Linked DNA regions of Saccharomyces cerevisiae S288C. The main gene of each other region encodes a partner of the protein of the gene in region 2 in a complex. Each region holds a gene or a part of one and is shown on either strand. Other genes may lie near its edges. A codon is read from its position in the direction of its gene.

The links.
Region 1: the proteins of RPD3 (region 2) and RCO1 are in contact, whole or in part, in a cryo-EM structure (PDB 8HXX), measured with the Saccharomyces cerevisiae proteins. Residues at the interface, in NP_014069.1 of Saccharomyces cerevisiae: Phe24 (codon at 2,379), Ala36 (codon at 2,415), His49 (codon at 2,454), Ser50 (codon at 2,457), Met53 (codon at 2,466), Asn54 (codon at 2,469), Gly56 (codon at 2,475), Tyr58 (codon at 2,481), Lys59 (codon at 2,484), Ile63 (codon at 2,496), Tyr64 (codon at 2,499), Arg65 (codon at 2,502), Ala66 (codon at 2,505), Lys67 (codon at 2,508), Pro68 (codon at 2,511), Ala69 (codon at 2,514), Thr70 (codon at 2,517), Gln72 (codon at 2,523), Glu73 (codon at 2,526), Gln76 (codon at 2,535), Met96 (codon at 2,595), Arg99 (codon at 2,604), Gly125 (codon at 2,682), Met128 (codon at 2,691), Glu129 (codon at 2,694), Ala132 (codon at 2,703), Arg133 (codon at 2,706), Arg136 (codon at 2,715), Lys138 (codon at 2,721), Glu172 (codon at 2,823); in NP_013791.1 of Saccharomyces cerevisiae: Val110 (codon at 2,102), Arg164 (codon at 2,264), Asp166 (codon at 2,270), Leu167 (codon at 2,273), Lys168 (codon at 2,276), Thr169 (codon at 2,279), Leu171 (codon at 2,285), Thr172 (codon at 2,288), Met175 (codon at 2,297), Thr176 (codon at 2,300), Glu177 (codon at 2,303), Glu178 (codon at 2,306), Ser179 (codon at 2,309), Asn180 (codon at 2,312), Ile181 (codon at 2,315), Arg182 (codon at 2,318), Ser183 (codon at 2,321), Thr184 (codon at 2,324), Ile185 (codon at 2,327), Trp187 (codon at 2,333), Asn188 (codon at 2,336), Asp292 (codon at 2,648), Pro293 (codon at 2,651), Asn294 (codon at 2,654), Leu398 (codon at 2,966), Asp399 (codon at 2,969), Ser400 (codon at 2,972), Tyr401 (codon at 2,975), Arg424 (codon at 3,044), Pro431 (codon at 3,065).

Annotation. Positions count from the first base shown.
Region 1 is NC_001145.3:412,208-416,731, forward strand, and holds RCO1 (Rco1p), read left to right. Parts: upstream 1-1,774; coding exon 1,775-3,829; downstream 3,830-4,524. Other genes in the region: IRC21 (Irc21p), read right to left, coding at 61-666; SDD2 (Sdd2p), read right to left, coding at 829-1,266; YMR075C-A (uncharacterized protein), read right to left, coding at 3,481-3,846; sister chromatid cohesion factor PDS5, read right to left, coding at 3,989-4,524. UniProt on the Saccharomyces cerevisiae protein: Catalytic component of the RPD3C(S) histone deacetylase complex responsible for the deacetylation of lysine residues on the N-terminal part of the core histones (H2A, H2B, H3 and H4).
Region 2 is NC_001146.8:16,638-21,611, reverse strand, and holds RPD3 (histone deacetylase RPD3), read left to right. Parts: upstream 1-2,309; coding exon 2,310-3,611; downstream 3,612-4,974. Other genes in the region: PEX6 (AAA family ATPase peroxin 6), read left to right, coding at 1-2,071; AAD14 (putative aryl-alcohol dehydrogenase), read left to right, coding at 4,364-4,974. UniProt on the Saccharomyces cerevisiae protein: Catalytic component of the RPD3 histone deacetylase (HDAC) complexes RPD3C(L) and RPD3C(S) responsible for the deacetylation of lysine residues on the N-terminal part of the core histones (H2A, H2B, H3 and H4).

The sequences.
Region 1 (4,524 bases), on a different chromosome or scaffold from region 2:
TGTGTAGTGTTTTTATATCCTATGTAAGTCTTCAAACTTTTTTTTTATCTCTGGTAACCTTTATTCGCATACAACGCCAATGAAACAAACCTGTAATAATTTTTCATAGTTAACCCATTGATGATACTTATTAAAATATGTAATCAAATCGTCACTATTACGGTGCTTTATTAAGATGTCCGTACCACCTGGATGGAACTTCAAATAACTAGAAATGTCATAGACTTTGCCGTTTATAACGCACCATAACTCGTCCTCACCTTTACAATGCTTCTTTACGATTTTTCTGTTTATTCTTAAGGGTGGCATTATTTTATAAAGGGGTATCTTTTGGACAAGCAATTGGTTCTTCAGTTGTGAAGGTGAAAACTTGAAGTTATCTTTTTGAAATACCGGATCATCGAGTAAATCCTGGATAAGCTGTAGCGAAACGAATTTTGTATAATAATTCGCTGGATTGGAGGTTAGAGAGTGCCAGTCCAGAGCACTGTGCCCAGGATCTAGTCTTATTTTGGTTCTTACAAGAGGCTTTCTTGACGACTTCGACATGGGCATATGCAGCGGGGATGATATGGCAGGATGAGCAACGCTTAGTCGCTGAGGAGCAGCGAATCTGACATTTGGTTTCGAGTTTGAAACATCTCTGTTCATGCCGTCACTACTCATATCTCTATGAGTGTAATCTAAGCACCTGCTAATATGTTATATTCTGCTTATTCGTCCTTTTGCTACACATAATTAATGTAACTTTAACTCTAGTTCTATAAAGGATATGATTTGTACTAAATGTAACATTATACGAAAAAACATATTATTCGTTTATATAAACTAATCAAAGAAGTCGTCATCATCTTCGTCGTCATCATTTTTAGCATTCTGCTTGTCAAATGAATTCAGATCTTCGCTGAAATCTTTCCGTTCGAAGATAATCTTACTGTTATTTTGTGAATTTTGTTGCTTGGCGATACCATTCAAGATTGAAACAATTTCAGCTTCAGTGATTTTATGAGTGACGTTGTTTGTAGCAATCAGTTTCTTTAAGTATGTCTCTACTGCTTGGGCCCTGTCTCTACGGACCAAGGCCACTCGAGATAATCTTTCTAAAGCTTGTGGCTCCAAGAAATTTGCAATAGCTGCACCAACGGGAGCGGAATTTTCACCTCCACCATTATTAGCACCGCTATTTCTATCGCCGTTGGTACCCCCACTGTTGTTTTTCAACTGAGCCAATCTGGCTTCCCTAATAGCTTGTAACTCTGGGTCCATATCTGAGCACACACTTCCTCCTGAATTGTAATCCAGAGAGCAAGAAGATTTTTCAACTTTTACTCTTGGTTCTCCTTGTAGAACCACAAGTGGTATAAAAATTCTCGCTTACCCAGCCCAAAAATTCTCATCTGTTTCTCATCTGTTTCTCGTCCGAATAAGTTTCCCGTTCGCAGCTAGGATTTCACCTGCTCACCATAATAGGCAACTTTCTTCCTCATGTAGGAAATTATACTATTGCTCTCTGTTGCAAGGTTATTTTTGAGCCTTAATACCATATTAGTAGATATAAATACATATATATCGTGTTAACCCATAAGTGGTAGTTTTAGTAGCTCGCTGCAAGATCTGCCTCATTCCTTTGTAGAGAACGACGTACCCACTACGCGTTTGAACATTTGCAACAAGCACGAGAGGAAGGAAGAAGAATACCAAGTATAAACGAGAATAATCACCATAGAAAAACCTATAAAAGACACTTCCATTACCATCTGCTAATAATAATACAATGGACACCAGCAAGAAAGATACTACTAGGTCGCCCTCACATTCCAACAGTTCTTCTCCTTCATCTTCTTCTCTCTCTTCATCTTCTTCCAAAGAGAAAAAACGTCCTAAGAGACTATCCTCCCAGAATGTAAATTACGATTTGAAAAGGAGAAAGATCATCACTTCTGAAGGTATAGAAAGATCATTCAAGAACGAGCATAGCAATCTTGCAGTTGAAGACAATATCCCGGAAGAAGAACCCAAGGAACTTCTTGAAAAGGACTCCAAGGGTAATATCATCAAACTTAATGAGCCATCCACCATCTCGGAAGATTCGAAGGTATCTGTCACTGGATTGCCGTTAAATAAAGGTCCTTCTGAGAAAATCAAGCGAGAGTCTCTTTGGAATTATAGAAAAAATTTGGGAGGCCAATCGAACAACTCAGAAATGACGCTGGTCCCCAGTAAAAGATTTACTCAGGTGCCGAAAAATTTTCAGGATTTGAACAGAAATGATTTGAAAACGTTTTTAACTGAGAACATGACTGAAGAGAGCAATATACGGTCAACTATTGGTTGGAATGGCGATATAATAAACAGAACTCGTGACCGTGAACCTGAAAGCGACCGCGATAATAAAAAGCTATCAAATATTAGAACCAAAATAATACTTTCAACGAATGCTACCTATGATTCAAAAAGTAAACTATTTGGCCAAAATTCCATCAAGTCAACATCGAATGCGAGTGAAAAAATTTTCAGGGACAAGAACAATTCAACCATAGATTTTGAGAATGAAGATTTTTGTTCGGCTTGTAATCAGTCAGGTTCTTTTTTATGCTGTGATACATGCCCCAAATCCTTTCACTTTCTTTGCTTAGACCCACCAATTGATCCGAACAACCTGCCTAAAGGTGATTGGCATTGTAATGAATGTAAGTTTAAAATCTTCATAAATAACTCAATGGCAACTTTAAAAAAAATTGAATCCAACTTCATTAAGCAAAATAACAACGTCAAGATTTTTGCTAAATTACTTTTCAATATCGATTCCCACAACCCAAAACAGTTCCAGCTACCAAATTATATAAAAGAAACCTTTCCTGCTGTGAAAACGGGTTCGAGAGGACAATACTCTGATGAGAATGATAAGATTCCATTAACTGATAGACAATTGTTTAACACTTCTTATGGCCAAAGCATAACTAAATTGGACTCTTACAACCCGGATACACATATAGATTCAAATTCAGGTAAGTTTTTAATTTGTTACAAATGCAATCAAACCAGACTAGGTTCATGGTCTCATCCAGAAAATTCAAGATTAATAATGACTTGTGATTATTGTCAGACTCCATGGCATTTGGATTGTGTACCGAGGGCTTCTTTCAAGAACTTAGGTTCAAAATGGAAATGTCCTCTACATTCCCCAACTAAAGTTTACAAAAAGATACACCATTGTCAAGAAGATAATAGCGTAAATTATAAGGTGTGGAAAAAACAACGATTGATAAACAAGAAAAACCAACTTTATTATGAACCTTTACAAAAAATAGGCTACCAAAATAACGGGAACATTCAAATCATACCAACAACTAGTCATACAGATTATGATTTCAATCAAGATTTCAAAATTACACAAATAGATGAAAATTCCATTAAATATGATTTTTTTGATAAAATTTACAAATCAAAAATGGTTCAAAAAAGAAAACTCTTTCAATTTCAAGAAAGTTTAATAGATAAGTTAGTATCAAATGGATCCCAAAATGGCAATAGCGAGGATAATATGGTCAAAGACATAGCCTCTTTAATATATTTCCAAGTTAGCAACAACGACAAGAGTAGTAACAATAAATCGGCTTCCAAAAGCAATAACTTAAGAAAATTATGGGATTTGAAAGAACTGACTAACGTAGTCGTGCCGAACGAACTAGATTCTATACAATTCAATGACTTTTCCAGCGATGAAATAAAGCATCTGTTATATTTAAAGAAGATTATCGAATCCAAACCAAAGGAAGAACTGTTAAAATTTTTAAACATAGAAAATCCCGAAAACCAATCCGAATAGAAACGGCGTACATACATAAAGAATAAATCAGGAACGTGAACACCTTCCTTACATATATACACACATACATAGGCATATGTATCGCATCTTAAAGTGAGAGATCTACCTATTTTCCTTTTTTTTCCATTTACAACATAGCAATTGATGTTTTTTTCCCTTCTAAGTCATCTCGATGTCATCATCTTCATCGTCTTTGTAGTCAACTTCTTTCCTGACCCTCAATTTCTTCATCACAATATTTTCGTGCCCTTTCTTGGTTTCATTTTTGTTAGACGGTGAATAACTGTCATCATCACTGTCTGATTCTCGATCCCCATCACCTTCTTCGTCGTCAGCCTGTGATCTCGCATGATGAACTTTCTTCTTTTTTTTTTGTGATTCATTGTTTTCGTGAGCTAATAACCTCTTTTGAAGCCTTTGTCTTTGAGTTTGTGACGTGTGAAGAATCCGTCCGATTTTAGCTTTTATATTGTTTTGTATTTTTTCAGTCAAGCTCTCTGGTATGTATGTTTTGAAAGATAACTGGGCCTCCTGAACCGTTGCAAAAGGTTTGAACAAATCTGATGGTAAGTTTAATTTACCTGGATATGCTGAATGTTGCCAATTTTTCTTCTCTTTTAAATTCAATAGAATCATTTGCGACAGCTCACCTATGATATACATTTTCTGACCGTAAGGTCTATGCTTCTTTGGCG
Region 2 (4,974 bases):
GAGCAAAAGGATTCTTTGTCAAAATGATTTAATCCCAATCGCTTTTGATTCAAGTATGGCTGATCTCAATATAGCAGAGGAAAATGATGAGTCTGATGACGAAGATGAGCTAGGGCAGTACTACAAGAACGATTCCCTTGTATGGTTCTTTGTCACAAGCGCAGAGCTCGATTGCTTCTCTAAAGATAATTCTCATTTTATTATTGATCCCAATCGGACGAAGCTAATAACAACTAATATCACTAACAGAAGACCATTACCCTTGAGTAGATCCAATCTTCAGAGATATTACGGTTTTGCTGAAACTTTTTACTATGATTTGCATATCTTCCCCTATGTAAGACAATTGGTTAACATATTAGAAACTTCCTTCAATTGTTCTCAAAGGGGAATCACCCTAAATGCCTCTGTGTTACTTCATTCCACTACAAACAATGTGGGCAAGGCTACAATGGTGAGATTTGCTTCAAAATATCTTGGTATACATCTACTGGAGATAGATTGCCTTTCGCTCACTTCAAATTCAAGACAACTGGATTCAACATCTAAGATTATTGGTTACATTAGGGCTAAATGTGAAAATGTCCTACCGTACGCATCACCTGCTGTGATTTTTTTGGCTCATTTGGATTCAATTTTGCTTGACGTAAACGCTAATCAAGATCCAGAGGCAATCAAATTACAAAAATCTATAAACTTCGAAATGTCTAAACTTCTGGACGATTTTACGTTTAAATTCCCAGGAACTACATTTGTTGGCTCCGTAAATAACATAGATAACGTGCCTTCCAGCTTTAGATCACATATGAGATTTGAGATTCTCGTACCCGTTCCGTCTGAAGCACAGAGACTGCGTATCTTTCAGTGGTACTTATCTTCACATGAACTAAACAGAGATGTTCAACAAAAGGTTCCAGTATCTTACATGGATAATATTTCATTTTCATCACTCTCTTCATATTCTGCTGGTTTAACTCCTTTAGACATCAAATCAATTGTGGAAACGGCACGAATGACGGCTACTGCGCGTTTTTACCAAGAATCAAAGAAGTGTGGATGGCTTCCGCAATCAATTTTGATCACTCAGGAGGATTTATCAAAAGCTACTTCGAAAGCTAGGAACGAATTCTCGGTTTCGATTGGTGCCCCACAAATCCCTAACGTAACTTGGGATGATATAGGTGGTATTGATTTTGTTAAAGGTGAAATATTGGACACAATAGACATGCCGCTAAAACATCCTGAATTATTTACCTCAGGTATGAAAAAGAGAAGCGGTATTCTTTTTTATGGTCCACCGGGTACAGGTAAAACTCTAATGGCTAAGGCCATTGCAACAAATTTTTCTTTAAATTTTTTTAGTGTTAAAGGCCCTGAACTGTTGAATATGTACATTGGTGAGAGTGAAGCTAATGTGCGCAGAGTGTTTCAAAAGGCGAGAGAGGCTAAACCTTGTGTCATATTTTTCGATGAAATCGATTCAGTAGCACCCAAACGTGGTAATCAAGGTGATTCGGGTGGTGTTATGGATCGTATCGTTTCACAGTTACTAGCAGAGTTAGATGGTATGAGTACCGACGCTGACGGTGTATTTGTTATCGGAGCAACAAACAGACCAGACTTATTGGACGAAGCACTACTAAGACCAGGACGATTCGATAAATTGTTATATTTAGGCATTCCGGATACGGATACCAAACAATTGAATATTTTAGAGGCTCTGACTCGCAAATTCGTGCTCGACAACGACGTAAAGCTTATTGAGTTGGCAAAGCTATGTCCATTTAATTACACCGGGGCAGATTTTTATGCTCTCTGCTCAGATGCAATGCTTAACGCCATGTCAAGAATTGCACGCATGGTAGAAAAAAAAGTTTCTCAGCATAACGAATTGACGGGAGAGAATATTTCTACACGTCGCTGGTTTGATAAGATTGCGACAAAAGAGGATACTAAGGTTGTCGTAAAAATGGAAGACTTCTTGAAAGCACAAGAGCAGCTCACCCCAAGTGTGTCGCGGGCTGAACTGAATCATTATGAAGCGGTGAGAGCTAATTTTGAAGGTGCTTAAGTAATATCAACTCAGAGCGTATAGGTAAATTTGTAAATATATGTCCCATATTTTGCCTTGAAATTTATCTTTTTATTTACTTACCCTCCCCGGCTCATAGTATCTATCGAAAGGGAAAAACAGAAAAGATACTAGTAGTTGATTATACATAATAAAAATTTGAAGTAATAACCATAAAGGTTCATAAAACAATTGCGCCATACAAAACATTCGTGGCTACAACTCGATATCCGTGCAGATGGTATATGAAGCAACACCTTTTGATCCGATCACGGTCAAGCCAAGCGATAAAAGACGCGTTGCATATTTTTACGATGCAGACGTTGGGAACTATGCATATGGAGCAGGTCACCCGATGAAGCCGCATAGAATAAGAATGGCACATTCCCTTATTATGAATTATGGCTTGTACAAGAAGATGGAAATTTACAGAGCTAAGCCGGCAACGAAACAAGAAATGTGTCAGTTCCATACTGATGAATACATTGATTTTTTATCGAGGGTTACTCCAGATAATTTAGAAATGTTTAAAAGAGAAAGTGTCAAGTTTAATGTCGGAGATGATTGTCCTGTCTTTGATGGGCTCTATGAGTACTGTAGCATATCTGGTGGTGGCTCTATGGAAGGAGCTGCTCGTCTGAATAGAGGCAAATGTGATGTTGCTGTCAACTATGCGGGTGGTTTGCATCATGCAAAAAAATCGGAAGCTTCTGGGTTTTGTTATTTAAATGACATAGTACTGGGCATTATTGAGCTACTACGATACCACCCCAGAGTTCTGTATATTGATATTGATGTGCACCATGGTGATGGTGTAGAGGAAGCGTTTTATACAACGGATCGTGTCATGACATGTTCTTTCCACAAATATGGTGAGTTTTTCCCTGGCACAGGTGAACTGAGAGATATAGGGGTGGGTGCAGGAAAAAACTACGCGGTCAATGTGCCATTAAGAGACGGTATTGACGATGCTACGTATAGATCTGTGTTTGAACCTGTGATAAAAAAAATTATGGAATGGTATCAACCTTCTGCTGTCGTGTTACAGTGTGGTGGGGACTCCTTGTCCGGCGATCGTCTTGGTTGCTTTAATCTTTCCATGGAAGGCCATGCTAATTGTGTAAACTATGTGAAATCCTTTGGGATCCCAATGATGGTTGTTGGTGGAGGAGGCTATACTATGAGAAATGTTGCAAGGACATGGTGCTTTGAAACAGGTCTACTAAATAACGTTGTCTTGGATAAAGATTTACCGTACAATGAATATTACGAATATTACGGTCCAGATTATAAGTTAAGTGTTAGACCTTCGAATATGTTCAATGTAAATACTCCCGAATATCTTGACAAGGTAATGACCAATATATTTGCTAATTTGGAAAACACAAAGTATGCCCCTAGTGTTCAGTTGAATCACACACCTAGGGATGCCGAAGATTTGGGTGATGTTGAAGAAGATTCTGCCGAGGCTAAAGATACGAAGGGTGGTTCGCAATATGCGAGGGACCTACATGTTGAGCATGACAATGAATTCTATTGAAAAAAAGAGTTGGAAGTATATACGAATATAAATAATGTGAAACAAAAGAAGAAAAGTGAATAAAAGGCACTTAAGACGCTATCCAATTGTGTATGAGAAGTGCAAACTCAATTTTTTTGCAAAAGACTTTTCTCAAACCTTTAATTGATGCGTTCCGTTCATACATCAACCGCGTCCCATACGTTTCGAAGAAAATTGCCTATATGTGTTATTTACATACTAGAGATATTTTAATATTGAAACAGTTGTATTTCTATTGTAATTACTATCTAAACGTCTCGTCCCACCGCTGTTGATAAAGCGGTGCCAATATAATTTATAATCACGCCTGGGTAAATGACTTTTAATTTCTTAAATCATCGAAGTATGCGAAAACAAGAAGTCTTTATTCATAATAAAAAACAAATTCGGTTACTACGACTTTTATATGTCATTCAATATTTGGTAATAATTTTACAGTATTAACCCTATCCTCATCTGATTCACTCTCTTCTAATTGCATATATTTTCAAATTCGCTTTCAGCGCTGTACAAAACCAGTAAGCAGATCTCGTACGAAGACTCAAATAAGTTGCATTGTTCGTATTCAAGGAAACCGGGGGGCAAAATTTCCAACCATATTTAAGTATGACAATATTTCCAAGTCAAGGATGCATGCTGTTCTTCTCTTCATTAACTAGCTAACCAATTAGCTGAACGGCTTTGTATTTTACTTAACATATTGTCTATTGCATAAAAAACCACTATTCAGCATGACTGACTTGTTTAAACCTCTACCTGAACCACCTACCGAATTGGGACGTCTCAGGGTTCTTTCTAAAACTGCCGGCATAAGGGTTTCACCGCTAATTCTGGGAGGAGCTTCAATCGGCGACGCATGGTCAGGCTTTATGGGCTCTATGAATAAGGAACAGGCCTTTGAACTTCTTGATGCTTTTTATGAAGCTGGAGGTAATTGTATTGATACTGCAAACAGTTACCAAAATGAAGAGTCAGAGATTTGGATAGGTGAATGGATGGCATCAAGAAAACTGCGTGACCAGATTGTAATTGCCACCAAGTTTACCGGAGATTATAAGAAGTATGAAGTAGGTGGTGGTAAAAGTGCCAACTACTGTGGTAATCACAAGCGTAGTTTACATGTGAGTGTGAGGGATTCTCTCCGCAAATTGCAAACTGATTGGATTGATATACTTTACATTCACTGGTGGGATTATATGAGTTCAATCGAAGAAGTTATGGATAGTTTGCATATTTTAGTTCAGCAGGGCAAGGTCCTATATTTAGGAGTATCTGATACACCTGCTTGGGTTGTTTCTGCGGCAAATTACTACGCTACATCTCATGGTAAAACTCCTTTTAG